2 linked regions of the Caenorhabditis elegans genome follow. The protein of the gene in region 1 purifies or fractionates together with the protein of each later gene. This does not show direct contact. Each region holds a gene or a part of one and is shown in the gene's direction. Other genes may lie near its edges. The genes, in order: chd-3 and mes-2.

Region 1 (16,634 bases):
CATTATATTGTTCGGAATATCAAACACCTAATTTGAATGTCGTTTCATAAAAGAACCGGGTAAAACTAAAATCTAAAAACAGTAGAAGAGTCTACATGTCATTAGCAACCCAGCAACGGTGAGATCTAAATCAATCAATAGGTTATTTATGAACACTATAAAAGGAGAGACAAACCACCCACACCACCGTCTCTTCTCACCTTTGTGCGAGAGAGTTGTCTCTAGCAGGTGAGCCTGTGCAACAGTTTTGGAGCTGACAAAATCTAATGCAGAAAAAATTGTGTGTCCAGTTGTGGGGAAAAACTAAAATTGTTTCAACCCCGTAAACCTCCTTCATGTTCAATCAATAGTGACATAAATCCTTTCGACCATCGTCATAAAGATTGCAGATAGCGAAGTTGAAGATGTACCAACTATACTGGTTGGTAGTTGAGACATGTTGATTCACATCCAGTACCTCTTCCCACCTTTTCATTACCTTCTAGGGTGCCTTCTTCAGCATGTGCGCTTCTCTACTGGAGTTACTTACTTTGATACTTTGAAGTCCGTTTGGATCAAGTTAACAAGCAACTTCGGACAAATTCTCTCCAGTTTTCACGTTCAGTGCGGGCGCTCTATAACCATGGAACCTTTGGAGAAAGGATTCCAAATCTTTTACAACTCTTCCTTGAAGAGCCTCGGGTTGTTAAACGATTTGAAGGCGTCGTCAATGTCTTTTGTCCATCGTTTCTTCGGTTAACCAGTTGCTCTCTTCCAGTTTTTGTTGTGGCAGGGCTCCCATTCAGTACAAATTTTGAGCCATCTGTTAGGATCTCTTCTCAAAACGTGACTCGAGGCCTTTTCATCAAACATTTCACTGCTCTTTTCTGATTTTCTAAGAATTTAGAATACCCTTCCTTACCCAATTAACGAAATTACCCAAAAAATACCCAATTCAAATCAAACACCCCCTTTTCTCGCTTATGACAACAAAAAATGAAATTGAACTCGTAATTCTGTCTCTATAAGTTTTCACAAATATTCTAATAATCTTTCAGATTTAGAAAACTCACAACAAAAACGAGTATGGTGTTTGCGTATGAACGTCACATTTACGACCTAACAAGGGAAGTCTTTGAGGGGGTCCGTAGATTTGGGATTCTCATGCTAAAATTCCTACAGAAGAGTGTTAGTTATGATCTCTCCAAAAAATTTAGCTGCCCCGGTCAAGTTTCAGCAAAGTTATGACGTTTTGAAATTTCAGTTAAAAACACCATTGAAATCCACTGTCTTACCATGCAATCCACGCAAATCTCAGCTTGCGTGACCACCGAAAATGTGACACCCACCACATTGAGTTGAAAAATGTCCTCGGTGGCCGAGTTGGGAGTGCGCGCGTCTGATAAGGTTTAAGCTTTGGTTCGATTCCTTCTATTTTTGAAATATTTTTGTAAGTTGAATAAAGTTGTAAAACAACTCATTCAAACATTTTTGCGCATTTTTAAAGTGATTTTATTCTTATTCGGGAACCTAGAATCATTGTCCGCACTTTTTGGAAATTTTTATTTTTTTCATTTTTGTTCAAAATTTCTTGATCAACTCCAAGCAAAAAAATCAAAAAATTTCATTTTTCTAAACAATTATGAAATTGCTATGTTGTTGTTCAGAAATGTATGAAACGTACATTACACAAGTTTTAACTCTCTATTCGCAAGTAAACCGTCGAAATGATACATCTCACGAACTTTGTGAAAAATATTTAACCAACTTTGAAGTTGCATAACTTCGTTGAGATAAATTATTTTGAAAAATGATCAACTAACAAAATGTTTGTTGAATAACAGTGAACAAAGTTTTAGTTATAAACTTTTTGATACCTTCAGCCACCAAAAAGTTGTGACCGTTTTCCAAAACACAATGTTAATAGAAAAACTAGCCAAATGCCAACCTTGTTTTCTTCTTTGTAGCTGGAGGTATCAAAAAGTTTATAACTAAAACTTTGTTCACTGTTATTCAACAAACATTTTGTTAGTTGATCATTTTTCAAAATAATTTATCTCAACGAAGTTATGCAACTTCAAAGTTGGTTAAATATTTTGCACAAAGTTCGTGAGATGTAGATCATTTCGACGGTTTACTTGCGAATAGAGAGTTAAAACTTGTGTAATGTACGTTTCATACATTTCTGAACAACAACATAGCAATTTCATAATTGTTTAGAAAAATGAAATTTTTTGATTTTTTTGCTTGGAGTTGATCAAGAAATTTTGAACAAAAATGAAAAAAATAAAAATTTCCAAAAAGTGCGGACAATGATTCTAGGTTCCCGAATAAGAATAAAATCACTTTAAAAATGCGCAAAAATGTTTGAATGAGTTGTTTTACAACTTTATTCAACTTACAAAAATATTTCAAAAATAGAAGGAATCGAACCAAAGCTTAAATCTTATCAGACGCGCGCACTCCCAACTCGGCCACCGAGGACATTTTTCAACTCAATGTGGTGGGTGTCACATTTTCGGTGGTCACGCAAGCTGAGATTTGCGTGGATTGCATGGTAAGACAGTGGATTTCAATGGTGTTTTTAACTGAAATTTCAAAACGTCATAACTTTGCTGAAACTTGACCGGGGCAGCTAAATTTTTTGGAGAGATCATAACTAACACTCTTCTGTAGGAATTTTAGCATGAGAACCCCAAATCTACGGACCCCCTCAAAGACTTCCCTTGAAAACGTTTAATTTGACGCGCAAAATGGGCAGCTGCTGTGAATCAAAGGAATGGCGGAGGTTGAAAGACGCGCGATTGTCCAGGAAACATGGCCGAATGGTCTATTGGTATGATTCTCGCTTTGGGTGCGAGAGGTCCCGGGTTCAATCCCCGGTTCGGCCCATTCATTTTGATGAAAATTTTTAACAATTCAACTTATTTATTGAACAACGAAGTCGGACGGATTAATAGGTGACACACATATCCTTGATGCAAATGCTTTTACAGTTGTGACATCCCAATTCCACTTTTGCTGTAGCCAAAGAGACCAGAAGAAATACCATAAGGAAGAGGAAGACGGATCGGACAATAGAAAAGGATTTCATGTTGAAATTTTACAATGATGCTCTAAGACAGACTGATTTCTTATATAGTGCTGAAACGTCACATGACAAATGCGTAGGAGGTTTTAATGGGAATATGTAAATTTCATGGTTTTGACGTTTTTTCCAGAAAATGTTCTGAATCATAAAAAAAATCAACGGGAATCTATGAAGATCAGTGATCAAACTCAAAATCTGTGTGCTCCTGTGATTTTTCTAATCCTCTATACCAATTAGAAGAGCCTTGGGCGTGTACCAGCTCACATGTTCCCTTGATGCGCGACTGGACATCTGTTGTGTGCACATCGGGTCTTCGCTCTTTTTCTCTAGTTCTGTAGTCAGTAACGTTCTCTACAAAGTCTAATTACTAGCCAAGCAGTTTATCGATTCTTGTGCAACGTTTATTCGATTCCTCTGTTCAGAACTCCAACTCTTTTTTGTTTGCATGTTGCTATTTTAGTCCCCTCCACCACTTAGTATATTAATCTTTAGAAAATGCGATAAGCTCAGTTCAGAAATTCAATAAAATATATATTCACATGGTTTCAAATTTTTGTAAAATGTGGTTTGAAGATGGCTCTCTCAATACACATTCCGTTGTGTATTTTTTTTCTGTATACGTGCGTAGTACGTAGTACACATTCAATTTTTTCACGATCGAGTAGCACGTTTATTGTTAACAGTGGTTCTACCGTTTTTATGCTTAGGGATCTGAAAAACTTAATATTAAATTGACGAAATCGACAAAATCGACGAACTGCTTAAAATGATCGGCATTAATTTGCTTCCTTCACTAATTTTGAAGACTACCGTTCTAATTCACTCTTCGATCAGAACCTGGATGAGACTACCAAAAAAAGAGTGCTGCGAATGCGTTCCTATCTATTCGTAGTTTCATTTACAAGGGCACTCGTACCGCTGTGTGCAATGCGCACGTCCTAAAACACCTGTCCTTCGTGCCTATCGATCGTTGGTTAGGTCTCTCATGGTCACTCCATCTTTCGTGTGAGACACGTCGGATGAGAAGACTCCACCCATCTGGTTTCTCTCGTTCTAGCTAATCTGCGGAAAATATTCGTCCGTGCTCGCTTCGGCTCCAGCCTCATTTAATCCACATTGATTTTTCATTCGACGCCTCTCTCCATTGCGAGACTGCAATTTTGTATTTGATAAAAATTTTATTTCCTTGCTCTACTACATCATATTTTCTATGGTTTTCATGATTTTCCCTATTAGCCATTGAGATCCTGTATCATGTTTCAAAATTTGAATAAAAAATTCGATCATTCGACCTTTGTCCTATTTAAAACTTTCCAAAATAAATTGTGACTTTCTTATCAGTTTTCGTCCTCTCTCCACAAAGCTCATCAGTTATTCTGAACAAACGTGAGCTTCTTTCGAACTTTTATGCCCGTTATGTCTTCGTCTCGTTGCATATCTCTTTCTCTCATTTTTTTTTATCTGACCGAGTTCGCAGTAAACAAACACGCCAGCGCGCGCGCGTCTCTGACCCTCACACTAGATGTCCCCGCAATGACGCAACGAGTGGGACACAATGAGACACCCCTGGCGGGACAATCCCCTTATTCAGATTTTTAATGTGTGTCTTCATTAATGTCTTCCAACTAGTCTGGATAATTTTGAAATCCGAAAAACGGGTTTTCTTGAATCTTATTTTCACACTGTGTCATCATCCTTGCGCTATGAGAAAAAATTTTTGTGGAGCATCTTTGAATCTTTTAAAAATAAAAAAAAAATCAACAAATCAATCCGGTCTCTCACAAAATATTTGGCAAAGTAATTCAACTCACAGCCACAGACCGTTCTCAAGATGGAAATTTGGTATTTTTTGGAACTATGCATTTGCGCTCCATTGCTAAGTCCGCATAAAATTTAGGATTTCGGCGGTAAACTTTGTACATAAAATAGATAGGCTCAGTTATTTTGTTGCTTGGTCATTCAATTCTGGTTTTCTTATTCTTCGCTTATTCTCCTCGTAAAAATATAAAGACGAATTTAATAACATTACTTCTTTCAGTAATTCCCATAAAGAACAATGTCAGACGATCAACACGAATCAATCGACGGTGATGAGACAATGGAGGAGGATTCCATGCTAGCAGAAGGTCATGAGGATGGAGAAGAAGATGTCGGCGAAGATGAGGAGGAGGTGGAAACTGAAGAATCTCAGGGAGTTCCGACCACTTCTGAGAAGAAAAAACCACCACCAAAAAAGAAGAAGGGCGGAAAGAAATCTTCGAAAAAGAAAAACAACTGTGATTACCCGGATCCGTATAAGTCGACAAGCGCAGAAATCAGTGCAGCAATAGGATTGACCGACGTTGATGTGGACTATGAGCAGGAGGAATTTCAGTCGATTACCAATTTGAAAGTGAGTTTTTTAATGTACGATTTCTTGTCCTAAACAAAAACTTTAAATTTTCAGAACTTTTCGAGTCTTGTCAAGCCATACATTTTAAAAGTGAATCCCGGCACAAACGTCACAAAGATGTACCCTCTATTTCAAGTAAAATACAAAGAATTTCAAGATCACATGACAGCACACGGCAAATCAATTCAAAAGCAACAAAGAGCGAAGTTTGTTCCGGTACCCGTTCCGGTGACACCTCAAGAGAAGATCATTCCACAGAAGACTCGTTCTTCTGCTCGCAGAAAGCGTCGTGACGGATCAGATGGTGAAGGTGGCGGTCACGACAGTGATCAGGAGTTTGAGGCCTTGATCAAACAACATGAAAAGCAACAAGATGAAGCTGAGAAGGGGAAAGAAGAAGCTCGCATTAATCGGGCTGCAGCAAAAGTGGACAAACGTAAGGCCGCATTGGAATCGGCTCGAGCATCGAAACGAGCACGTAAAGAGCAAGGAGTGGTGGAAGAAAACCATCAAGAGAACTGTGAAGTTTGCAATCAAGATGGCGAGCTTATGCTCTGTGATACTTGTACTCGTGCATACCACGTTGCATGCATTGATGAGAACATGGAGCAGCCACCAGAAGGAGATTGGAGCTGTCCCCATTGTGAAGAGCACGGTCCGGATGTTTTGATAGTTGAAGAAGAACCAGCTAAGGCAAACATGGACTATTGTCGAATTTGCAAAGAAACCTCAAATATTCTTCTATGCGACACCTGTCCAAGCTCTTATCACGCCTATTGCATTGATCCTCCACTTACCGAAATTCCCGAAGGCGAATGGTCCTGTCCGCGTTGCATTATTCCCGAGCCGGCTCAAAGAATTGAGAAGATTCTCAGTTGGAGATGGAAGGAAATCAGCTATCCGGAGCCATTGGAATGTAAAGAAGGAGAGGAAGCAAGCAAAGACGACGTGTTCCTTAAACCTCCCCGCAAAATGGAGCCTCGTCGAGAGCGGGAGTTCTTTGTCAAGTGGAAGTATTTGGCTTACTGGCAGTGCGAGTGGCTTTCGGAGACGTTGATGGATGTCTACTTCACAGCGGTATGTTTGTGTCAGGAAAATTTAAAAAAAAAACTTTTGTTTATTAAATATGATTATTTATTTCAGCTTGTTCGCATGTACTGGCGGAAAGTCGATTCCGAGAATCCACCGATTTTCGAGGAGTCTACACTCTCACGCCATCATTCCGATCATGATCCATACAAACTACGCGAGCGTTTCTACCAATATGGTGTTAAGCCTGAATGGATGCAAATTCATCGTATTATCAATCACTTGTCATATGCAAAGTCTCAACAAGACTACCTAGTCAAGTGGAAGGAGCTATCTTATGAGCACGCGACCTGGGAAAGAGATGATACGGATATTGCCAACTATGAAGATGCGATCATCAAGTATTGGCATCACAGAGAACGCATGCTGAACGACGAAGTTCCTAGAAATGTGCAGAAGATGATTGCTAAGCAGCGTGAAGCTAAGGGACTGGGACCTAAGGAGGATGAAGTCACCTCGAGAAGAAAGAAACGAGAAAAAATTGATGTAAGTTCAATAAATAAGTTTTCAAAATTCACCATTTCGTTTTTTTCAGATCCTCAAAAAATACGAAGTGCAACCAGACTTTATTTCGGAAACTGGGGGAAATCTTCATCCATACCAATTGGAAGGAATCAACTGGCTGCGACATTGTTGGTCGAATGGAACTGATGCCATTCTTGCCGACGAAATGGGTCTCGGAAAAACCGTCCAATCTCTGACATTCCTGTACACACTCATGAAAGAAGGGCATACCAAGGGGCCATTCCTCATTGCTGCTCCACTGTCTACTATCATCAATTGGGAACGTGAAGCCGAGCTTTGGTGTCCAGACTTCTACGTCGTTACCTATGTTGGAGATCGTGAATCGCGCATGGTCATTCGTGAGCATGAGTTTTCATTTGTGGATGGAGCCGTCAGAGGAGGGCCAAAAGTTTCCAAGATTAAGACATTGGAAAACTTGAAATTCCACGTTCTTCTCACTTCATATGAATGTATTAATATGGATAAGGCAATTCTTTCATCCATTGACTGGGCTGCACTAGTCGTTGATGAAGCTCATCGTTTGAAAAATAATCAATCGACATTCTTCAAAAACCTCAGAGAATACAACATTCAGTACCGTGTGCTTCTCACTGGAACTCCACTTCAAAACAATTTAGAGGAGCTGTTTCATCTTCTCAATTTCCTCGCACCAGACCGCTTTAAGTAAGTTTTTAACTAGATAGGGTTTTTTATATCGTTAATTTTTCAGCCAGCTTGAAAGCTTCACAGCAGAGTTTTCCGAAATCTCCAAAGAAGATCAAATTGAGAAACTTCACAACCTGCTCGGCCCACACATGCTTCGTCGTCTTAAAGCTGACGTCCTTACTGGAATGCCATCCAAGCAAGAGTTGATTGTCCGTGTAGAGCTCAGTGCGATGCAGAAGAAATACTACAAGAACATTCTCACTCGCAATTTTGACGCGTTGAATGTGAAGAATGGTGGAACCCAGATGTCGTTGATCAACATCATTATGGAACTTAAAAAATGCTGCAACCATCCGTATCTCTTTATGAAAGCGTGTTTGGAAGCTCCAAAACTTAAAAATGGAATGTACGAGGGAAGTGCGCTTATCAAAAATGCCGGAAAATTTGTCCTTCTGCAAAAAATGTTGCGAAAGCTGAAGGATGGAGGTCATCGCGTGCTGATCTTTTCACAGATGACGATGATGTTGGATATTCTTGAAGACTTTTGTGATGTTGAAGGTTACAAGTATGAACGTATTGATGGAAGTATCACTGGTCAACAGAGACAAGACGCAATCGATAGATATAATGCTCCGGGAGCGAAACAGTTTGTCTTCTTGCTCTCTACTCGTGCTGGAGGATTGGGTATCAACTTGGCTACTGCTGATACTGTCATCATTTATGACTCTGACTGGAATCCTCACAATGATATCCAAGCTTTCTCACGTGCTCACCGTCTTGGTCAGAAACACAAAGTAATGATTTACCGCTTTGTCACAAAAGGATCAGTTGAAGAAAGAATCACATCAGTTGCCAAGAAAAAGATGCTTCTCACTCACTTGGTAGTCCGTGCTGGTCTGGGAGCTAAAGATGGGAAGAGCATGAGCAAAACTGAACTTGACGACGTTCTACGTTGGGGTACCGAAGAGCTTTTCAAAGAAGAAGAAGCTCCAGTTGAGGGTGCAGACGGAGAGGGAACCAGTTCTAAAAAGCCGAACGAACAAGAAATTGTTTGGGATGACGCTGCAGTCGATTTCCTGTTGGACCGAAACAAGGAGGAAGAAGGTCAGGACGGTGAAAAGAAGGAACATTGGACTAATGAATATTTGAGCTCTTTCAAAGTAGCCACTTATAATACGAAAGAAGCAGACGACGCAGATGATGATGAAGATGAGACAGAAGTCATCAAAGAGGGAACGGAAGAGCAAGATCCAAACTATTGGGAGAAGTTGCTCAAGCATCATTATGAACAAGACCAAGAAACTGAGCTACAGAAGTTGGGAAAAGGAAAGCGAGTACGTCGCCAGGTCAATTATGCCAGTGAAAATATGGGACAAGACTGGTCTGCTCAAAATGTGAGTTGTTGTAGTTTCTTTTTTTTTCCATAAATGATAGCCAACGATATTTGTAGTTTTTTTGCTGCCAAGCTCTCACTCACAACTGCGGCGGCAAATACGCTCTGTTGATAAAAAAGCGCATGCCACATGAAACCACAAAAATATTTGCTGACCAAATTTTGATTAGTTCTGAAAACCAAAATAGTGAGGGCATGTTATTAAATTTATAATTGAAATGCTTATAAAGGAAGATCAATGTAGTTGTTTTCTTGATTTTTAAATTTTTAGAACCAACAACAAGAGGAAGATGACGGCTCAGAATACGGATCCGACAATGGGGAACTACTCCAAACTGACGAAGACTATGAGGAAAGGCGCCGACGTCGCGAGGAACGATCCGAAAAGCTTCCACCACTCCTTGCCAAGGTCAATGGCCAAATTGAGGTTCTCGGATTCAACCCACGTCAACGAAAAGCCTTTTACAATGCTGTCATGCGTTGGGGAATGCCACCACAAGACCTCACCCAATCATCATGGCAAGTTCGAGATCTCAGGAACAAATCGGAAAAAGTGTTCAAGGCGTACTCATCCCTCTTCATGCGCCATCTGTGTGAGCCGGTTGTGGATAACAGTGACTCTTTTATGGATGGTGTTCCACGTGAAGGTCTCAATCGTCAAGCGGTTCTGAGTCGTATCGGCTTGATGTCGATTCTGCGCAAAAAAGTGCAAGAGTTTGAAAAATTCAATGGAGAATGGTCAATGCCAGAGACACGTGAAAAGATGTTGGCCACCGCAGCTCAAGCATCAGTTTCGAATTTACCTGGAATGATTAAGATCAAAGAAGAGCCAATTGATATTGATGAGACTCCGATGGATGTTGATCAGTCCAATATAACTAAAACAGAAGAACTTGCCAGTGAAGTGAAAGTCGAGGAGGAACCCAAAGCTCCTCGTTTACCATACAAATTTAATATTTGCGATGGAGGATACACTGAGCTTCATAGTCTTTGGATTAATGAAGAGAAGGTGGCTCGCAATGGAAAAGAGTATGAGATTTGGCATCGCCGGCACGATTTCTGGCTTTTGGCAGCTGTGGCAGTCTATGGCTACGGACGTTATCAAATTAACTTCCAAGATATTATGAATGATCCGAAATTTTCGATTGTAAATGAGCCATTCAAACAAACTGGTGCAGATCCTGCCACTAATTTTGCTGACGTGAAGAACAAGTTTTTGGCTCGTCGTTTCAAACTTCTCGAGCAATCACTGGTCATTGAAGAACAACTTCGTCGTGCAGCTCACATCAACAAACAACAGTCTCCTGACCAAGTTGGCCAATTGGCTCAGCATTTCTCGGAGCTGGAGCACACTGCTGATGCTCACGTCAATATTGCAAGAGAAAGCAACAATGGAAACAGAAATGCTAACGCGATTCTTCACAAGTGCCTTGCCCAACTCGATGATTTGCTTTCCGACTTGAAAACCGACGTTGCAAGACTGCCAGCAACAATCTCTCAAGTTCGGCCAGTCACCGAAAGACTTCAAATGAGTGAACGACAGTGAGTGATTAACGAGAAATATATAAAACTGGAATTTTATTCTTTGCAGAATTCTATCGCGCTTAGTAGTCGCCAAGGATCCCGATGCTGCTCCAAGCAAGCCAGCACTCCCACCAAGCGGACCATTCATCACACCTTTGTTCAATCAAAACTTCACCACTATCCAGCCAAAGTTTCCTTCTCTATTTGACTGTAATTTGTCGCCTGATGATGAACCTATTGATATTGAAGGATCAATATCTGCAGCTGTCGCCGAGGCATCCCGAGCATCATCAATTGCTGCAACGAAGGATGGTTAGTGGCTAATGTTCAAACTTCAAGTTTGAGATGACAAAATTAGCAATACATTTTATTGATTTCAGAGCCAATGGATACATCTGACAAGGATATTCCCTCAACGTCAGCAGCTGCTGGTTCGTCCTATCCGAGATATTAAGCCACGTGGATTTTAACTTTGGAATAACCGTGAATAATTGTCATTTTTCTTGTTTACTTAAAATGTTCGGTCTCTTCTCATTTTTCATTTGTCATTGTCGTCAAAATTCATGTTTTGCCGATTTTTGTATAATCATTCATTGAAAACTCTTTGTATCGCACATAAACATTGATATTTCGTCTCAAGTATATTAGTTTGGAAATTGGGTAAGCTTCAAATACTATGATATGAAAAATTGGATGTTCAAAGTACTGGGTGGTCAGAAGCGAACTTTTTTGCAGAGACGATTTTTTTTTTAAATTTAATGCCGGTGGTTAAATACGACACAAAAACATGTGCTTTCAAGTTGTCAAGTTTCAAAAAATCAAGCCGCTATTCAAACTCCGGAAATCACTTTTCTAACAATGCAATAATTGTTCCTGGCGGCACACAACAACCGTGAAAAGCAATAATTGGCTTCAAAAACTCTCAGTCATGGCAAACGAAGTGGTCGAAAAAATCTATGAGAAGATCGACAAAGAACTCGGAGAGCAACATGTTGAAGAAGTCGTCAAAAATTTAATGGTTAGTGAGAACAACGAAGATGCGAGTCGACAGCTGATGGAACTTCATAAACAGGTATGTATTTTTTGTATTATTTTAATTCTTTTTGAGTTATTGGTCTGAGCTTCAAAATGGGAAAAAATGCTTCAATTGCCACACAACATTTCTTATTTTCAGTGCTGCGCAGTATTTCTCAACTATTCCTCACAGAGACCAACTTCCCGCACTAACTCAACAAAAAAGAAGATTTTAAATAAATCATGAAAACAAAAAATGTGTATAAATTTGTTTATATTTTATAAAAATCGTCAACAGTTGTTTAAAAACAATGTTTCCTAGAGATAAAACATTTTAATTAGCTGGTTTTGTTTTTAAATGTCAAAACTAGATTTTTTTTGTTATTATTAAAAAAAAAACCTTTTTCCACACACACCATTTCCACACAGTTTTGTTTTTTCGGCCGTAAATAAAAAAAAACAAAGTATGTATAAAAAGCGTGTCAAATTCATAAATTTGGTTAAGACTAAACAACAAGAATTAGTATCCAACTGCTGCCAAAAAAACAAAATATGCTCAAAATGAAAAGTGAAAGCAGTTGCCTCGGGATTGCAAAAGTCAGCAACACTTTCCATAATTTGAAACTCCGGTGAATTGTTCATTCGTAGAAAATTATATCAAACGACATGGTACAAAATCATAAAATATTTATTCAAAAATGTACACGCAATGGCACTAAGCACAAAAACGCAAACTTCAAATTATTCAAGGCAATTTTCCAAAATATATATTATTTTATGGCAACAACTGAGGAATCATTTCAATTTGGTGTAGACCACTCTGGTATGCTCAAGATATCCGACTTTTGGGTGTGTAGCCGTCCTCATTTCAATCACTTGCTCCATATACCGGTCGTCGTGGCGAATGAACGTTCTTCGCAACTGGAAATAATTAAAATAGCAGTGCAAAATTCTATATGTAATTAGAAACGCGTACGTCCTCAACAGGTAAATCTCGAGAGAACGAGATGCGTCCGATATCCTTCAATGTGAGAACCAGTTTGTTTGGCGACACGGTGCCAGTTTCGTATGTGGTGAATCCTGCAATTGGGTTTCGGACTTTTTCGAAATTCAAAAGTGGCATTTTAAATGGTATGGAATGTTATGATACCAATAACAAATAATATCGAATGCTAAAAAACTTAAACACACAAGAGTGTACGAACAAAAGAGATGAGAATTTCAAAATACCTTAGCTTTGCTGTAAGAATTTTAATAGTAGAATCTTTATAAACTAGTGCTACTTGTGTTGTAACCACATAGGTTGGCATTTTTGCTCCTGTGTAGAATACTAAAGGTTAACAGAGTATAGTTTTTTTGTAGGATTGGAGTCAAACGTGCCCTGTCAGTCTAATCGACAGAGCCTTGAAGTTTTAAAAGCTCACCATTGTTTCCTGTAGTCATCAAAGTGGCGTTTCCAACTGGATCAACAGTCAAGAATCCCCATTCGTCATGGAAGTGGTCCTTGGTAGAATGAGACCATGCACGTGCTCTGAAACATCAACCGTTGCACTTTACCGAATTTTTAACGTTTCACTTGATTAATGATCACTTCCTTCAAATCGAACACGTTTTGCGCCCTGTTTAGGAAAAACCACACTACTCAAAAAAAAAAACACTAATGAAACTATCTCTGTCTGATATCTTTCAATGACAAAAATCGGACATAAGGAAGTGCGTGAAACTTTCTCTTTCGGTGAGTTTTTGTTTGTTACAGTCGATTTGGTTTGCTATGCAATGTTGACCTATTGCTGAATAATTTGAAGGTCAAAAAAACTTACGAGAAGTTTAAGAATTGTACATTGGCTGATTTGGCAATCGGTGCCTCATTGATGACCAATTCCTCTCCAAATGTCATTGTAGGCACAGTTGGCCAAAAAATCTGAAAATACCGAAAGTTGGGAAATTAGTTTATTTTTTACGTGGGTTTATTGAAATCAATTTTAATTTAAAAAAATTACCGAGACAGATCTCGAAGATCACTACACGATTTACTTTTTTGACAAATTGATGTAAGCGGTTTACAAAAACAATAGCTTCCCATACAGCAACTAACCCTAAACTATCTAATGTGCAAAGACTGAGGAATTCATGGAAAAACTCATATCCATTCAATTTTTTGTATGTAACTCTCACATAACATTTATGGAAAACGCACCTTTCCTGAAAATTCTGACCTCCATTTTCCAACAATCCATTCAAGTTTCTGATTGTGTTCATTGAGAACCTGCAAAAATACAAAAATTAAAAAAGTAGACTGATCTCGGGCGGGCTCGAACCACCGACCTTCTGTGTGTTAGACAGATGTGATAACCACTACACCACGAGACCGCTGAGTAAAGTGCGAAAAGATGCGCGTAATGTGCTGCTGCTAAATTGAAGAAGAGTCAATAGAAAGATGCGTGCAAACCTTGAAGTGCGTGGCGCCACAGAAATAAAAATTGTGTATGAGTACAACACAGGACATAACTTTTAATTCAATGCCACAACTATTAAAGAAAAAACCTATGATCACAGTGTACGATTTTAATACACACAATTTATTTTTTCAAAAATCAATTCTTACCTGTTGAGAAATAGGAATAAGCATACATAATAAGAAAGCTGAAACGTAAACGTGGCTTTTGCACGACGACATATCCACAAAACTGCGCCGTGTCCTCTTCGCCCCTTTCCAACAACGACGAGGAGGAATGATGACAGTCAAATGGAAGGGCGAGACCGGTCTACCATAGTCGGTTTCTCTCCTCGGCGTCTCCACCCACTAGTGCGGTCTTTCGGACAACGTCTTCTGCGCGTCCACCGTTCCTTCTGTGCTTTTCGTTTTTCTTTCCGCATCCATCTTTTCTTTTCGTACACACTTATAGAGAGACCGCCTTGACTGATCCCCTTTTGCTTCTACACCATATCACTCCCTCTCTCTCCGCTTTCCTGTCATATGAACACCGCTTTATTATTGATGTAAATTACAGATATGTTCCCTTCTGTCACCTTTGCTTGGGTCATTTTCATTACACGAAAATCGTTTTTTTTTCAGTTCCTTGTTTGAAACGAAAACACGATAATTACCGAAGAAATGGGGAAAATTGTGGGTTCGATCGGCAAACCGGATGGGTGAATGATTTTTTTTCGTATGGTTATTTAAAACTGCACAATTTGAAACCCGAATTATCATTTTCGTTGAAATTGAAACTGAATATGGCTTGTGGGAAGATAATCAAAATTCATTAAAAATAATAATCTAAGTGCAAAAAAATGAACACAAAGTAAATATTTCAGGTTGGTAAAATGCTAATGGTGAACTATAGGTACACTCAAAATAATAAAACTGCGTGGCGTGTACGCAGAAAACCCAAAATTAGGACCCCGCTTTTTTTGGAAAATTCACGGGAAAAACGGAAAATCGAGACCCCAACCAAAATCAGGGCCGCCGACATCTTAACGGATTCCGAGCGCCGTTATGTTTAACTCGAGCGGGAGGAGACAGCTCGTTACGCCCACAGCGTGTTTAAACATAGCGGCGAGCGGAATCCGTAAGATGTCGGCGGCCTGATAATGGTTGGGGTCCCGATTTTTCCATTTTCCCGTGATTTTCCAGAAAAAAGGCGCTGCCTTAATTTTGGAGTTTTCTGCGTACACGCCACGCAGTTTTATTATTTTGAGTGTAACCAGGCATGGGCTTCCGAACATCGGTATAAGCAGCTCCGCGCTGGCATCCACATTTATAAAGAAACTAATTGAAAACAAGTACTTGTACTGTCATATTCATAGCCCAACTGTTAAAATCAAAATGAGCAATTTCTCACTTATTTCATCAAGATCATCATCTTTTGAGAAATTAAATCTGAATAGAACTTGCTATATTGTTTACAAAGACCAATCATGAAACTCCCTTTGTTTTGCAAATTTATAAAAATTATTTGTGTTATTTAAATAAAACGGGTTAAATCCCCTTTTGAATGAACACAAGTTTACTTTGTAACCAAATTATGTTTTGCTAATTAACCCTAGTCTGGATAATTTGCACTAAAATGCAAAACATCACAAACCACAACATTTTAGTGTAGGTCACATATTCATATATACCCCAGAGGAAAATGTGATTATTGGAACTTGGTATCAACGGAACACTAATTGGGACTTTTTATAGGTACACATAAAGGACAAGATCAGAAAGGCAACAAAATATTATAGAAAGAATCCAGTTTTAAAATTTAAAAAGGAGGTTTATTTAATAATTTAAAACTTGGAGCTTGTTGATTCAAAAATGTTGAAATTAAACTTTAAACACCTCGCGCTTGTATTCATAACAAGAATTCAGGGTTGGTGCATTAGCCGACAAAAAGCAGCATACAATTTTCATCTGATTGAAAAATGACTTGAAAAAGCTTTCATTATCTCGCAGTGAGAATTAATTTTGAAAGAAAAACCAGTAATTATTTCACAAAATTATATCGATGTTACATACAAACTTGCCGACAAGACATGAATGAGAAACTATCGAAAATTTGACTGTTCGGTTGTATAATGTAGAGTAAAAAATCCTTTATTAATAATTTGAAGTTACAATGTTTTTCCTTATGAATAAGCAAAGCCGTAGATTTTTTTGTAAACACATTTATTATAAATTCAACAATAATAACCTTCAAAATGTTGTAGAAATTTTGAAGAACGTATTGCCAAAGCTTTGGCCAGTTTCCAAATTTTTCACAAATAACCTTTTTGAGAAATGTGGTGCAATGTAGCATGTTAAACCTTTACAATGTGTAAACACAAATAGTATGTATAAAATTTTCCACATTTTTTCCACTGTCTACAACTCTTGCGATGCCTGTTTAAACGTGAAAACTATAAATTTAAGGTCACATTAGGTCACATTGACTTGTAAAAATTGTAGGTCACATTGACTTGTAAAAATTGTATTCTTTAATGTCTAAACATTA
Region 2 (15,663 bases), on another chromosome or scaffold:
ATGGGTGAAACGAAGCTGACAAGGGTGGTGTTTTTGGGCTTACCGACAAAAAAAAATGTAAATTTTGTGTTTTCGTCACATTTTGGAAGCTCAAGTTAGAACACCAGACATTTCAGAATATGCAAGTTTGAAGTGGAATACTCTAATTTGTAAGGTTCTGGTTCGGCATGCTAAAACTAAAATTTAAATTTTGCTCCAAGGTCTTACAGCAATGGGTCTCAAGTTAAAAACAAGTTCAGTAAGTTTTAGACAATTAAAACTACTTTTGGAAATTAAACTAAATTTTTCTAACCGGATTTACCTGAGAATTTTCAAATGTATATATATTATAAATCCCAAAAAATAAACAGTTAATCTTACTAAAACAGAAAAGTGGAAAAACGTCAGAGTATACTTCAAAATTTTATGAATTTTCGTCACCGGAAAACTTGTGCAGTCAAGCGAAAATATCTTAAATCTCTTGAAAAAGTGAGCTGGTAGGTTGACCCTTGCTCACATTTCTTCTTTGCTCCTTCTCATTGGCCCGCCTCTTTTTAAGAATAAAGTGAGTCTGCAAGATGAAGTGGAGGAGCAGTGAAGCGGTGTTTGTCGAATTTCCGTTCGACTCTTTTTGAGAGGACCAGGAGACCACGCCAAAAAATTGAGGTGAAATCGAAAAAATGTATTTCAGAAAAAAATCCTATGAACTTATTTTTGTGAAATTCAAGGGTTAACTGGATCATAATTGATGTGCCAAACTTTAAAATTCAAATTTTTGCTCACCAAAAACGTCTCTTCTCTGTCTGACCGCACAGAAAATTTCCGTCGAAGAAATTATGTACAAATAAAAATATTTAATTCCACCAGAAGCGGTGGTAATCATTTGGAACTTTCAGGACACCCATTCCCGCTTGTCTTTGCTCTTTTTTACCCCCGTTTTATTGCTCCTTTTTAGTACACCGCCGTTTTCCGGAAATTTCCTCGATCGTTCGGCACAATTGGTCCAAGGGGAGTCGTCAGAAATGAGAATGTATATGAGAACTTTCAGTATTTTTTTGTGGGAAATAGAGGTTTTTGAAAAGTGTTCTGGAAAACATGAAATTCAGCATATGAAAAATCACTTAGGGGTTGGAAAACTTTCCGAAATTATCCATTAAAAAATCTGAAATTCGAAGATAAAGATGTATTAATTATTAAATTATGCCATTTACTCTTTGCCATATACCATATACCATATACCATATACCATATACCCTAACTGCCTAGGCTCCTAATTGATAAAATAGTCTGAGTACATACATAGATTAGGTTACCGAAACAAGTTCCGCACAGCCATTTTAAACATGCCAACAGGCAGGCATGAAGGAATCAATATTTATAACAAAAAATGTGCTTTTTTCCAGCATTTTGAAGTGGGATTATGATTGAACGTCTGAACATTTTTGTCATGAACTAATGCTCATTCCCCATACCTCATTACGTCAATAGAATCAATAAATACGAGCTGTCATGCGCATCGCCACAGTGCTCCCGAAAGTGTAATTACAGCACTCTGCCGACGTGCTGCAATGCTACATTGACCTCCTTCCCTGGACAAACGCTGCAATGTTGCAGCGTCCGAGGAGACAAACAATGAAGAAGACCAGGTCAGTCTTTAATATTTTTTTATGGTGTTTGGTGACCTCTTTTTCTGTTTTATTAAAGTTATTTTTCTAAAATCTTATAGTATAACTTATACATTTTGTTCAAATTCCAGATCAATTCTCCAGATCAAAAATGAACCGAACTGAGATCGAGATCGAGCTTTTCGCACGTGTCATCAAGAGCGGACACGAAGAATCGGTAAGTAAATAGCTTTTATTTTGAATCGTAATGCTTAAATTCCCGTTGATTTTCTTTAGCCCTACCTTCCGGGGCTGTGCGGCTTGTAGAAAAATTGGGTTATCGGCTGAAGCCGACAGCCGCACAGCCCTGCTAACTACTACATATACTCAAAATCCAAATATGAAATTTCAGATCCAAGAAGTCTTGAAAACGTTGCCGGAAGTCCCCTTTACCGTCGAAATCCTGGACAAGTGCAACATCGCATGTCTGATCGATCAATTTGTCCCGAACTTAGCGCCGGCCACCGACTTTGCCAGAAGGATCAGAAAATGGAGGAACGCAAGCATGCAAAGGGAAAAGGCCAAAATTGTAAAGTATTTCACATACGGAACATTGTACGATTTTGGTGGAACATTTGTCCCGGACCATGTTTTGAAGCTTCTCACTGATATGATGTGTTTCGATGATTTGGCTCTTGTAAGTTAAATGGTCACTAATTTCAGCGGGAATTCAAAAACAATTATGGTTTTCAGGTAAAATGTGCCTTCAAACTTCTCGGTGCATTGGAGCTATCACTTGCGGATTTCGAGTACTATAGAGTGCACGAGACTGCTGCTCAGTTCCAGTACAGATTTGTTGAAGCAGACGAGTTGGTGCGAAAAATTGAACAATTGCGACGGGAGCTGTCAGACGAGTCGTTGCTGGATCAAGATGCATGTTTTTTTTCAAAGAAAAGTTTAGGGTAACTATTAATTTTCCATTTTAGATCCCAAATCTCGAAATGGATAATTTCGATCAGACAGAGCTGCTCCCAAAACTTCTCGATAATCTCCACTTGCATGGTGATCAAGAGGAAGGGCACTACAAAATGATGGAGAATTATGAGTGGGCCCTTTGGGAAGTTCTCATGGTGCACCTGGTGCAATCAATTAAGACTGGGAATCGACGAGTGGTGAGTTATAGATTAATTTTTACAATTTAAATTATAATATGATATTTCAGATCACAAGAGCCATAATCCACCACCAAGAGCACCGGTTTCCACTGGCACTTTACAGAAAATACGAGATCCAATCACTGATCCGAGCTCTTCCTCGTAAGATCTCAGCTGCTTCACAACTATTTGATGAGATCGAGCTAATTGAGGAGTCCACATTGAATTCCCAGCATATTGAAGCTTTCCGGGAGGTGAAAAAAGCTGTGAACGGAATGGAAGAAGGAGAAGAAGCATGGCCAGTGCTCATGTCTTTGATGATGGGATTCTTGAAGCAAGACGATGGATTTGTGAGTTTACCTCTGATGTTTTTCTCTATTTTCAAAATAATATTTTTCAGGTTCACGGAGCCGTTGAGTTGCTACTGAATTGCAATATTTCACGGGAGCGATTTGTCGAGTTTGCGGTGGAGAATACTCTACTGAATCTTCCATATCGAACTGAAGAGATCAATGAGCTACTGGTGAAGATTCGGAGCATGGAACCGCGTCAATAATAGATTTAATTTTCTTAAAAATTTTTTTTGTAATTTTTCCAAAGTTCAAATAAAATTGTTCTTGGAATTATTCAGCCTTACTAGTAATAGTTAGTATGCAAAATTTTGCAAATATTACGGTACCCGGTCTCACCAAAACCAATTTTGGTTAAATGCAAAAAGGTGTGTGCCTTTAAAGACATAATTGCAAACTCTCAGGAATTTTCATCGATTTTTTTATAAGTAGGTTTTCCTAAATCCTTTTTTCGAAAATTTATTGATTTTTTTTCTATATTTAATATAAGCTTTTTAATATATTGCGATCGGAAAAAATTCGATGAAAACTCCGCGGCCACGAAAATTTGACTTTTATGTACTTTTTTAAAGGGTGCATATATTTTCGCATTTAACAAAAAATTGCTGTGTTGAGACCTGGCACCGTATTTTTAGCATAAAAATGGCAGAACTTCGCGCCTGGGTAACATATTTTGCAAAAAGCATTTGGTTTTCCTTGTCAGATTCAAATTCCAAACCTTCGCGCCAACTTCACATTATCAATAGGGCGCGATTGCACGCAACACTTGCAATGTTTTTAAAAATTAAAAATTGTTTGTTTTCGATTTATTCTCTCGTCTTTTTCGTCTTAATACAATTTTCTCCCTTTTTAAAACGCAATATTCTTTCAGAATGAGCAACTCAGAGCCCAGCACATCAACTCCCTCAGGAAAAACAAAGAAGCGCGGGAAAAAGTGCGAAACTTCTATGGGAAAATCGAAGAAATCGAAAAATTTGCCTCGCTTTGTGAAAATTCAGCCAATTTTTTCATCTGAAAAAATCAAGGAGACCGTGTGCGAACAAGGAATTGAAGAATGTAAACGTATGCTTAAAGGCCACTTCAATGCTATCAAAGATGACTATGACATTCGAGTAAAAGACGAGCTGGACACAGACATCAAAGATTGGTTGAAGGATGCGAGCAGCAGTGTTAATGAATATCGCAGAAGGCTGCAAGAAAATTTAGGAGAGGGCAGAACTATCGCAAAATTTTCATTCAAAAACTGTGAAAAATACGAAGAAAACGACTACAAAGTCTCCGATTCCACAGTTACATGGATCAAACCGGATCGAACGGAGGAAGGAGATTTGATGAAGAAGTTTCGTGCTCCGTGTTCACGTATCGAGGTTGGCGACATTTCCCCGCCAATGATATACTGGGTTCCAATCGAGCAAAGTGTGGCGACTCCGGATCAGCTGCGGCTCACGCATATGCCGTATTTTGGCGATGGTATTGACGATGGGAATATCTATGAGCATTTGATTGATATGTTCCCAGATGGAATTCATGGATTTTCGGGTGAGAAATTGCAAAATACCGGATTTTTTCCATTTTCTCTGAGAAACCCCCAAAAATCGAAAAAAAAACAGGCGGGACGAAGGTACCATTATTTCTATTTATTTTTACATTTTACATTCAAATTGCCTAATTTCTCACTTTTCAGTGAGAAATCGCCGTAAAATTTTTTTGAAATTTTATTTCAATTAATGTCATTTTGAATGTCAAACACAAAATTAGTTTTAAAAAATAGCCTTGAAAGTGAAAAATGCGAAAAACAAGTTCCCACTTGTCCACGTGTAGTTCTAAATGTTTCATAAATCGACATGCATCAAACCTCGGGACAATCTTGCAAATCCTTAGCTCCAGGTATTTTTTAAGCGAATTGATGTTAAATTTTTCAGACAACTGGTCCTATGTCAATGATTGGATACTCTACAAACTATGCCGTGCTGCGCTCAAAGACTACCAAGGCAGCCCAGACGTATTCTACTACACCCTCTACCGTCTATGGCCAAACAAAAGTTCACAGAGAGAATTTTCGTCGGCTTTTCCCGTTTTGTGCGAGAACTTTGCTGAAAAAGGATTCGATCCGTCGAGCCTCGAACCATGGAAGAAGACAAAAATCGCTGAAGGTGCTCAAAATCTTCGAAATCCGACGTGTTACGCGTGCCTCGCATATACATGTGCGATTCACGGATTCAAAGCCGAAATTCCAATCGAGTTTCCGAATGGTGAATTCTATAATGCGATGCTTCCGCTGCCAAATAACCCGGAAAATGATGGAAAGATGTGTTCTGGAAATTGCTGGAAATCGGTGACGATGAAAGAAGTTTCAGAAGTTCTTGTGCCGGATTCTGAAGAAATTCTGCAGAAAGAAGTGAAGATTTATTTCATGAAATCAAGAATTGCAAAGATGCCGATTGAAGATGGAGCGCTCATTGTGAACATTTACGTGTTCAATACATATATTGTAAGAGTACGCGATTTTTGCGCCAAAACCTGGCCTCGACGCGACAAATTTTTGTTAAATGCGAAAAGGCGTGCGTCTTTGAAGAGTACTGTAATTTTAAATTTTCAATAATTTTTCTAACAAGGGAAGAGTTCAAAAACTATTCCTGAATTCGGAATAAAAATAGTGTCATGCGATAGTTGGAGGTCTGAGATGATCCCTCCGAAACATTTTTATTGAAAAATTATATTTCCAGTGAAATTAATTTCTCGCAAGTTTTCTCTTTTTTTTAAAGCTATAAAGCTTGATTTTGCACCTTTTTCGTTATTTTGTTTTTCATTTTGCGTTTAAGAGTTTGTATATTATGTAAATCAAACTATTTTAAACAAAAAATAGCGAAAAATAGGAAAAAAGGGTGCAAAATCGAGCTTTATAGCTTAAAATGCAAAAAATCCATTCTCAGCCATTCTGCGAGTTTGTCAAAAAATATGTCGACGAAGACGACGAGGAAAGCAAAATTCGTTCATGTCGTGACGCATATCATCTAATGATGTCGATGGCAGAAAATGTGAGCGCCCGACGACTTAAAATGGGACAACCGTCGAATAGATTGTCAGTTGACGCGATTTTTTATATAAAAAATTGAATTGTTTCAGAAGTATCAAGGATCGAGTCAACAACTTCCGTCGTAATCAGTTGAGTCAGGAGAAGGCGAAGCGTAAGCTGCGTCACGACAGTCTGCGTATTCAAGCATTGAGAGATGGTCTGGATGCGGAAAAATTGATTCGAGAAGATGATATGCGTGATTCTCAGCGAAATAGCGAGAAAGTTCGCATGACCGCGGTGACGCCAATCACAGCGTGTCGACATGCGGGTGAGGAATGGAAAACAATTATGGGGTTATTCGTGAAATGTAGAAAAATGCAATAATTTGTTTTTATACATTTTTCACCTACCCATGTGCATCGAACAATGTAGCATTAATTTTTTGCATTTTTCGACATTTTTCGGCATTTCCTGCATTTTTCGACATTGGGCGACATCCCACTTCTCATGCTGAAGGCGAGACACGCAGAGAAAACCCGCGGGTGCATATCTCTCTGCGTCTCTCGCCTTCAGCATGTGAAGTGGGCTGTCGACCGATGTCGAAAAATGCAGAAAACGAATATTTTTTTGTATTTATTGGACACACATGTATTTATTGGACACAAATGAATGAAAACACATTTTTGCACATTTTACTACATCGCATTAATAACCCCATTAATTGAAAATTAATTTTTAAACATTTCAGGCCCATGCAACGCGACAGCCGAAAATTGTGCATGTCGTGAAAACGGAGTGTGCTCGTACATGTGCAAATGCGATATAAACTGTTCTCAGCGATTCCCGGGATGCAATTGCGCCGCCGGTCAGTGCTACACGAAGGCTTGCCAGTGCTATCGAGCCAATTGGGAATGTAATCCGATGACGTGTAATATGTGCAAGTGAGTGCACAGGAATTTTTTGAAAAGTTTTTTTAGTAAGCTTTAATTTTTCAGAACTTCCAGAAATGGAAATTTTAAGAAAGGAAAAAATTAAACTTTCCAAAAAAAATTGATCGAACTGAAAATTTCTCGAAAAAGAAGGACCAAATGTCCATTAAAAATCTTCAATCAAAATCCCAAATTTAAAAAAAGGTATATAAAATCAAAATAGCACAGAAAAATCGAATTTTGTACCTGAAAATTCTCAATTTAAAAACAAATTCAGATGCGACGCCATCGACTCGAACATAATAAAATGCCGCAATTTTGGAATGACTAGAATGATCCAAAAACGAACGTATTGCGGGCCATCGAAAATAGCAGGCAATGGACTTTTCTTGTTGGAACCCGCCGAAAAAGACGAGTTCATTACGGAATACACTGGTGAACGAATTTCCGATGATGAAGCCGAACGACGCGGTGCGATATATGATCGATATCAGTGCAGCTACATTTTTAGTATGTACTTTTTTTAGATCACGGTGTCGCAGAAAAATGTTTTAAATTTAAATTTTTTTTGGGTTTTTAGAGACAACATTTCGATTTTTTGAAAATCAAATAAATAAGAAAAAATTATTTCAAAAAATTAACAAAATATCGAAAAAAAAAACCATCAAAAGTTTTCTTTTTTTTTGAAAATTCAATTTTTCGGAACAAAAAAAAATATTTTTGCAGACATTGAAACCGGGGGTGCGATCGATTCGTACAAAATTGGAAACTTGGCACGATTTGCCAATCATGACAGCAAGAATCCGACGTGCTACGCGAGAACGATGGTTGTCGCCGGAGAGCACCGAATTGGGTTCTATGCGAAGAGACGGCTTGAGATTAGTGAAGAGCTCACATTTGACTACAGTTATTCTGGAGAACATCAGATAGCGTTCAGGTAGATTTTGCAAAAAGCTTTTCGGGTCTCGAGACGACTGCAGCTACCGTACCCTCTAGTTTTTTCCACTCAATTTTTAAAAATTTATAACACAAAGATTTTTTTGGATCAAAAAAATCATGATAAGCCGTAGAAAATTGTGGTTGGTTACGGTAGCTGCAAATTTTCGGTCGCTTCGAGAACCAGTTTTGTGTAGACTTTCAACTTGACTTTTTGAATAAACTTTTTCCAGGATGGTCCAAACCAAGGAGAGATCCGAGAAGCCCAGCAGGCCCAAAAGCCAGAAACTCTCCAAACCAATGACTTCTGAATAATCTTTTTTCTTGACTTTTTTTCTTAAATTTTTCCCGTTGATATCACTTTCAAATCTCAAGATCTACTTGTTTAACTGTTATTTCCCTAGAATCTCATGTTTCTGAATACATTTTCCTTCCTTCAAATTTCTGAAAACCATAAATATAATCGAATCAAAATTCCTCCTATAAAATCGCCCGACACAGCACAATTTTTTCACTTCTTCCTTAAAGATGGTGATTTTCTTCTTATTTTTCTTATTTCCCATGCTGCTGGAGGCTTCGGAAACGTAAGTTGGATTTTTTTCTGCAGGAAAATCTGAAAATGACAAAAATTCCAGTAGCAGAAGCTTAATCGAACCACCGGCCGTAATTCCTGAGAAACTCAAAACATTTTGCCAGATCGATCCAACGTACGAGATTTGCGTGAAGCTTGGCATTCCGAAAGCTGCGAGAAAGTTTGCAGCGAGATCCAAAATCCAGGGAAGACAGAGAAAAGGCGTCGATTGTAGGCAGGCCCCATTGCATCCGGGTTGTCAGAGATAAAAATGTTCCAAATATTATAGAAAAATTCCAATTATAGAAATGTGTACCTGGACAAGTTCATCGCGTGGAAAATTCATCACGATTGCGAGGTGAATCCAAATGGAGAATTTTGCCCGAAAACTTTGAATCGGAGAGCTTCTGCTTCTTGTCCATCCTCCTCCACATCTTCATCGTCTTCTTCGTCGTCGTCCTCGTCTTCCTCATCATCATCCTCTTCTTCTGAAGAATCCCTGGCAAGAGTGAGACCGGCTCCTGTAGAAACCACGACATCACAAGAAAATCCACAATCTTCCGCTAACACCTGGGAACTTTTGAACAAATTTTCCTCGAACGGAAGAGAGAAGAGTTTCCCTAATACCTTCTACGGAACAATTGGAAACTATTGAAATGTGATGATGATAACAATATAATAAATGAAATGATTTAATATACATGAAAAGAAGGCATAATTGATACGTGGATGAAAACCAGAGTTAGACCAAGATGTTGGAGAGGTTCGATCTGAAAAAAATACACGTTTAGTTTATAAAGAAGGATTTTTTGGTTAAATAGCTTTAAAATGGACCTATATAAACGAGTCTGGTGGTGAAATATCAAAATTTTTACCGCTCTTCAGTGCCGCCCGCATAATAATAATTAAATAAACATTAAGTTCCGACTGCTGCCAGCCACACAGTAAAGTAGGCAAAACTGAAGATTTTAGTCCAGATTTTAAAAACTTTTGAGCAGTTTCTTCACAAAACTTATTTTTAATTAAATCCCTTACAATTTCTTTCTATTCCCATCGTTAGGCTCATTCGGCGTGGTTTTCAAGAGATTGACGTCATCCGTCCACTTCGCAGATATTGCTTCCAATTTTTCTGGAGTAAATCAGATAAATTGTTTCAAAGACTATCAGCTTACTGTTAAATTCCCGCTCATTTCCAATTTTGTTCTCATCGTCCAATCTTTTTAGTTTTTCTTCCAGTTGCTCAGTTTCAAACATATTTTTGTTCAGTAGCTGTTGTTCGAATGACTGTTGCTCGTGGCGTTCTGAACAAATGTTTTGTTTTATGCACACATCTAAACAATTTCCTTGCAAATTTACCATCGATATGTTTTTGAGCATCGATTCTCGTTTTCATAATTTTTTCCTGGCATTTTTGGAGTTTCCGCATTCCTTCATCAACTAATTCGTCTTTCTCATTGACTGCCTTAAGACGATTAATAATCTTGTCCATATACTCGTTGAGTGACTCCATTTTGCCGAAAAACCTGCAAAAATTCAATGAAAATCGGTTAAAAACTAAGATAAATAAATAAAAATGCGACAGCAAAATTAGCAAAGATAAATTCCAACTCAAATTCCCGCGTCAAGAGGGCCAAGGTCTCGTCGCGACCATTGCAAATAAATGTGTGCGCCTTTAGGGTGTGCCTCTCGCACTGAGTCGATTTACGGCGCGGCGCGTTCAAAAAAGTGTCCAAACTGATTATTTAGACGGAAAAGTGAAGGAAAATTTCGGAAAATTATTATTTTTCCTTTTTTCCCATTGTTTTTTATGTTTCCACTTGAGAAAAGCCGATTTTCCGCTGGAAAATGAGTTTTATCCCATTATCGATTTTTTCAGCTTCAAAAATTAAGATTTCGTACTGTAGTTTACCAATCCTGGATCCTTTTTTAATGTATTTTTATCTAATAATGTTATATTCCGATTGTCATTTCTCGCAAATTTTATTGATTTTCCTCCAAAGACCATATGATGACGTAAAATCTTTTTTTCTTGGATTTCAAGCTCTTTTTCACAATTACCAGTGTTCTAATTTGATTTTAAATTTATTCCTTTCGAGGCTTTCAATATTTTTTGACGAACATTCTTAAGCTTATCGATTTTCGAAAAGTTTCGAAATTTTTTCAGATGGCTCCACCACGTGGCCGTTCAAAGCGAAAGCATCCGTCTGAATCCGGAAATTCTTCAATTGCCGATTCAGAAGACCCATCAGAATCCACATCATCATCTCGTCCACGCCGCAGTCGACTTCCGAAACGTTATTTTGACGACGGTTACAGTCCACCGCCAACAAAAAAACGTGCGGCTCAACGGGAAACACCATCAGACGCCGAGGAGGTGGAGGTGAAGATTGAAGAGATCTCGGTTAGATCTACACCTGCGTCAACACCAGCACCAAAGAGTACCTCGAAGGCTAGAGGGTGAGAAATCAAGAAGAAAAATAATTTCAGAAATTCCGCTGATTTCAGATAATTTTCAATTAAATGCTTTTTTCAAGTTTTAACGCAAATTCTTAGGATATTTCCGCTTTCGTCAAATTTTCAATCGAAAAAACGTATAATACGCTTTTTCACGTCGTTCACAACAAATTATTTAGATTTAAAGAAAAACTATGCAAACCCATTTGCGATGTACAAAAATTTGTCGTTTCGAGATCATATTTTCGCGCCTGGGTAATACCGAATACAACTGCAAAATGTTTCGAATTTTTGCAAATATTCAAATTCCGAAGGAACTATGCTTGCGTTCTCCGGCCAATTTTTCGGGTTTTCTTGATTTTTTCTCATTTTTTCAGAAATCGAAAATTCAAAATTCTTTTTATGATAGTTTTGCGGAAAAACGCCTGAAAACGAGGCTACAATTTGCATAATCAAGAAAAACAAAAATAAAGTGTTCCGCAAAAAAATTAAATTTTGTTTTCAGAAAAATGGAATTTTACTCAAAAATTGAGATTTTTTTTTCACAATCATGGATTTTTTTTCCAAAAAATTGGGAATTTTTCTGAAAAATCCCAATTTTGCAAAATTAAGAATATTTAGAAGCTATATAAATCTGCCTGTTCAGATTAAAAATAAATTCCATCAATTTTCAGCCGACCCAAAAAAAATCCAACTCCACCACGTCGCAAATCGCTAAAACGCCAAGAAGAAGACATTATCTACATGGATGAGGATTCTGAAGAAGAAGAAGAATCTTCGGACGATGAGTTCATGCTAAATGAGGATCAGGTTGTTCAGGAGGAAGAGGAAGAGTTGAATTTAACAGATATTAAAATCGAAAAAGGTCTCGACGAGGAGAACAAGTATTGTCCGTGGTTGGATGAAGATCCTGCAAGTCTACCAAAACTCGAACTACCAGAATCTAGTCAGGATATTCCGATTCCAACGGCTAGTATAATGGATGCTGTTGAAATTTACGAGATTCTCCGATCTTATCATCGAACTCTCCGCATCACACCCTTCACTTTTGAGGACTTTTGCGCGGCACTAATATCGCACAACAACTCATGTATTATGGCAGAAGTCCATATGGCTTTGCTTCGTAATTGTCTGAAATCCGACGATGAAGAGCAGACGCACTACTCGGTGACCGAGACGAACAATTCTGTAAATATAATGATTCACCATATGGATACACTGACCTACGCTGAAATTCTACGACAATATATTGAGGCGTACCCGTTTGCTGATGCGTCTGTTAGAGATGCTATTAATGTCGATAATTATCCGTTTGTGGGATATGATGCAAAGTAAGATTCAATTTTAAGAAAAATCCTTTTTTTTTTAAATAAAATCGCAGTATACAAAGAGACTTTAGTTTTTTTTTTAATATTAAGCATGTTTTCAGACTCGTCGTCCTTCTCTTCATGAGCTACCGTTTCTTATATTCGTCGGAATTTAAGAAACTTGTGAATAATGTTGGAAAATTCCAGGTAAAACTCTCGTTATATAAAAAATTTAACTGAAAGAAATTCAAATGTTTTTTTTTTCAGAACGACGAAAACTGCCGAGTTTGCGGTAAATCGTCAGGACGTGTAGTAGGTTGCACTCAATGCGAAGCCGCTTTCCACGTGGAATGCAGTCATCTGAAGCCATTTCCTGAGGTTCTTGTATGCAATATATGTAAAAAGAATTCAGCAGTTCGTGGTGTACTGCCGCCGGATGAAGCTGTCGACCGGGAACCGTTAAGATCTCAACCAATCGGAAGGGATAGATATGGACGATATTATTGGTTCATTGTTCGACGTCTTGTTGTGTAAGTTTTTTAAAGTGGAGTAGCGTCTGTGCTTTTTTTACCTGAATGATAGAATATCGTGCCTATATACCAAATATAACTGTAAAAAATTATAACATTTTTCTAAATTTTTTAATGATTTGTTTCAATTTTGAAAAAATAAAAAGGGCTCAATTATTTTTGAATTGTCGCGCAAATAAGTGACGTCTTTTTCGGATGTTTTGATTAGTTTTTCTTCATTTTTTCTTTGTTTTAATATTTGTAGATTTTTCAGACATTTTCCGGACAGAACACTTTTAGAGGCCAAATTATCGATTTTTAGACAAACTTTAATTTTTTTGGCACATCAATTTAATGTTTGAATAAGTATTCTAAAATTTGCCTAAAATTTGCCTAAATAATATGATATTTTTAAAAGGTTTTTTTACGGAAAAAAAGTGTCTGAAAAATTGACGTTCAAAATTTTCAAATTATAAAACAAAGAAAAAATAAAGAAACTCCAATTAAAACAGCTGGAAGAAATGCCGTCACTCATTACGCACGGGAATACAAAAATAATTCAGCCCTTTTTTTCAAAATAAAAAAAATCATAAAAAAATTAGAAAAATGTTATAATTTTTTAACAGTTATCGTATATTCTCTATTAGTGCTGCATGTAGCACTAATTTTCCTACCCTTCTTGAATGCAGCACTATTAGAGACTGCAGTATTACTGGAGACTGCAGCATTAATCTTCAAACGGCAATTTTCAATTAGAGAATACTAGTTGTTAGTCACAAAACCTCTTATTTTTAGCAGAAATTCATCAAAAAATATGAACTTTCGTACCAAGAATGACCCAATAATTCAATTATGTTTGTAAATAAAAAGAAATAATCAAAAATATGCAAAACAACTCCCCAAAATGCCGAAACTACTAGTGACTCTTCCAATTGAAAAAGGGACGCAGCACTAATAGAGACTGCAGCACTAATTTTCCTACACTTTTTGAATGCAGCACTATCAGAGACTGCAGTACTACTGGAGATGCAGCACTAATAGAGAATATACGGTATACCGTATTTCCTCTATTAGTAAGGCGTCTCTAATAGTTTTGCACCTCTATTAGTATTGCATCAAAATTATCTATCGAAAAATAGTTTTGCCGCCTCTATTAGTTTGGCACCTTTCATAGTTTTTCACCACTATATTTCTGTCCTATTTTTTGAGATTCCAAAATTTGCAGTATAAAATCCTTCAACAAATCAAAAAAAAAACTCTTACAGACATGGTATAACATTTTTTACTAATAGAGGAAATACGGTATTTGGTATATCGGGACTGTATTCTGTCATTGTTAGGGCAAAAACCCACCTTTAACTATTTTATTGTTGGCAAAAAATTAATATTCAATAATTGCAGTCAATCCCTTGATGAAACGGAACTTTACTACTATTCAACAGTTCCACAACTCTACCAACTCCTTCAAAAACTTGATCGAACGTATTACGAAAAGGATCTTTGTGATACGATTCGCCTTCGAATCGACGAGTTTTTGGAGCAAATGGCTTTGACAGTGGAGATGACGTCAGAACGGAGAGAAGCTGCATTGGAGACGATGGTGAAACGGCAATTGATCGGATATGATTTTGCTGAAGCCACGACTCCGCAGATTTATCTTCATAGGGATAGCAGTTAGTTTATAATTATGGACCGTTAGCCTCAGATTAGAGGCATCACAGATTCAAGATCTGGCTCGATGCCAACGCATTTTTTCTAAAAAAAAATCGCAGTTGGTACGGTGCCAGATCTGGAAATCGTAGATCCCACCAGATCTTGAATCCGTGGAACCTCTCAGATTAATCAACGAAACTATTACAGTGAAACGAATGGCATCAATTCTTCGGGACTGTGCTCAAAAGGGACAGGTGAAGCAAGAAGTCAAGCTGGAAGAGCCCGTCGAAGGACAGTCGCCAGTGAAATGTGTTCAATTTGTCGAAGATTCCATTCTGCCCGAATCAATGATTGGAATTTTCGATGCGAAACTGATCAACACGTTTTGGAGTGGTGGGGCGACGCAAGAGGAGCTCGTCGAACAGTTTGTCGATATTTCGGACAACTTTGATGCCCCGAGTGCAAACCTCTGGCGGATGGGAGATGAGGGGAATGATCAGACATTTATGACGTATTATAATTATTATAGGTAAGCTTTAATTGATTTAATTTGAAAAATTTCTTGGAAAAACAATAAAAACTAACTGGAATGATCGAAGAAGAATTAATTTTAAAAATCTAACTTTTCAAAATGTCTACTTCAACTTTGCTAAATTTCAAAAAAAGTGACATATTATATTTTCTTTTAAAATAAAACGTTTCATAAAAACTTTTTTCTTTGCCATTTTTCTCTCTAAATTTAATTTTTGACCAATTAGAAAAATACCGAAATTTTTTAGAATTCAAAGCAATTATCTGTAAATGTACTTGTTTAAATTATTTCTAAAATTTTTATTATTGCAGTCGAAACGAGATGTCTGAGAGCTTCCTAACCCGGAAAAAGGCGGCGGATAAAAAGAAGTATATGGCGTCAAAATTCGCTCAAATCGACAATTTCGATTGGGTTGTGGCGAAAAATCGGCAATTCTACGGAGACGCGAGCCTCCATTGCAAGTTCATCATGTGGACGCTACAACAAGTCATCAAGAACATCCCGATAGATTTGATGCATAGGAAATGGCCTGAATTCGCCAAAGGTTTCGATCTGGAAGTTTCTGTGGCTGATGACTACAAGAAGCTTGTCACATGTCTTCTCAAACTGGATTGTGCCGTTCGAAAGACAATATTCATGCCGCAATGGTGGAATGGATTGGGACAAACT

What was found.
Region 2: the proteins of chd-3 (region 1) and mes-2 purify together in Caenorhabditis elegans (affinity purification with western blotting, with the first as the bait; one study listed by BioGRID). This does not show direct contact.

Annotation. Positions count from the first base shown.
Region 1 is NC_003284.9:12,841,076-12,857,709, reverse strand, and holds chd-3 (Chromodomain-helicase-DNA-binding protein 3 homolog), read left to right. Parts: upstream 1-5,108; 5' UTR 5,109-5,126; coding exon 5,127-5,462; intron 5,463-5,516; coding exon 5,517-6,539; intron 6,540-6,605; coding exon 6,606-7,037; intron 7,038-7,086; coding exon 7,087-7,739; intron 7,740-7,785; coding exon 7,786-9,115; intron 9,116-9,385; coding exon 9,386-10,656; intron 10,657-10,705; coding exon 10,706-10,950; intron 10,951-11,018; coding exon 11,019-11,092; 3' UTR 11,093-11,271; downstream 11,272-16,634. Other genes in the region: C52G5.3 (uncharacterized protein), read left to right, coding at 11,567-11,710, 11,813-11,899; C52G5.2 (THAP4-like heme-binding beta-barrel domain-containing protein), read right to left, coding at 12,448-12,573, 12,629-12,732, 13,077-13,183, 13,473-13,573, 13,850-13,918, 14,258-14,329. UniProt on the Caenorhabditis elegans protein: ATP-dependent chromatin-remodeling factor that has a role in notch signaling-dependent vulval cell fate determination. May also have a role in pharyngeal precursor cell specification.
Region 2 is NC_003280.10:14,380,017-14,395,679, forward strand, and holds mes-2 (Histone-lysine N-methyltransferase mes-2), read left to right. Parts: upstream 1-3,956; 5' UTR 3,957-3,959; coding exon 3,960-4,626; intron 4,627-5,009; coding exon 5,010-5,578; intron 5,579-6,020; coding exon 6,021-6,169; intron 6,170-6,213; coding exon 6,214-6,431; intron 6,432-6,851; coding exon 6,852-7,044; intron 7,045-7,309; coding exon 7,310-7,542; intron 7,543-7,758; coding exon 7,759-7,969; intron 7,970-8,201; coding exon 8,202-8,283; 3' UTR 8,284-8,438; downstream 8,439-15,663. Other genes in the region: sdz-26 (SKN-1 Dependent Zygotic transcript), read left to right, coding at 1,756-1,821, 1,996-2,280, 2,337-2,516, 2,570-2,755, 2,806-3,087, 3,138-3,293; F26H11.8 (uncharacterized protein), read left to right, coding at 8,497-8,552, 8,604-8,808; kbp-3 (Kinetochore-binding protein 3), read right to left, coding at 9,282-9,309, 9,575-9,668, 9,712-9,840, 9,896-10,049; nurf-1 (DDT domain-containing protein), read left to right, coding at 10,704-10,996, 11,668-12,324, 12,423-12,507, 12,568-12,830, 14,211-14,482, 14,670-14,991, 15,306-15,663. UniProt on the Caenorhabditis elegans protein: Polycomb group (PcG) protein. Catalytic subunit of a the mes-2/mes-3/mes-6 complex, which methylates 'Lys-27' of histone H3, leading to transcriptional repression of the affected target genes.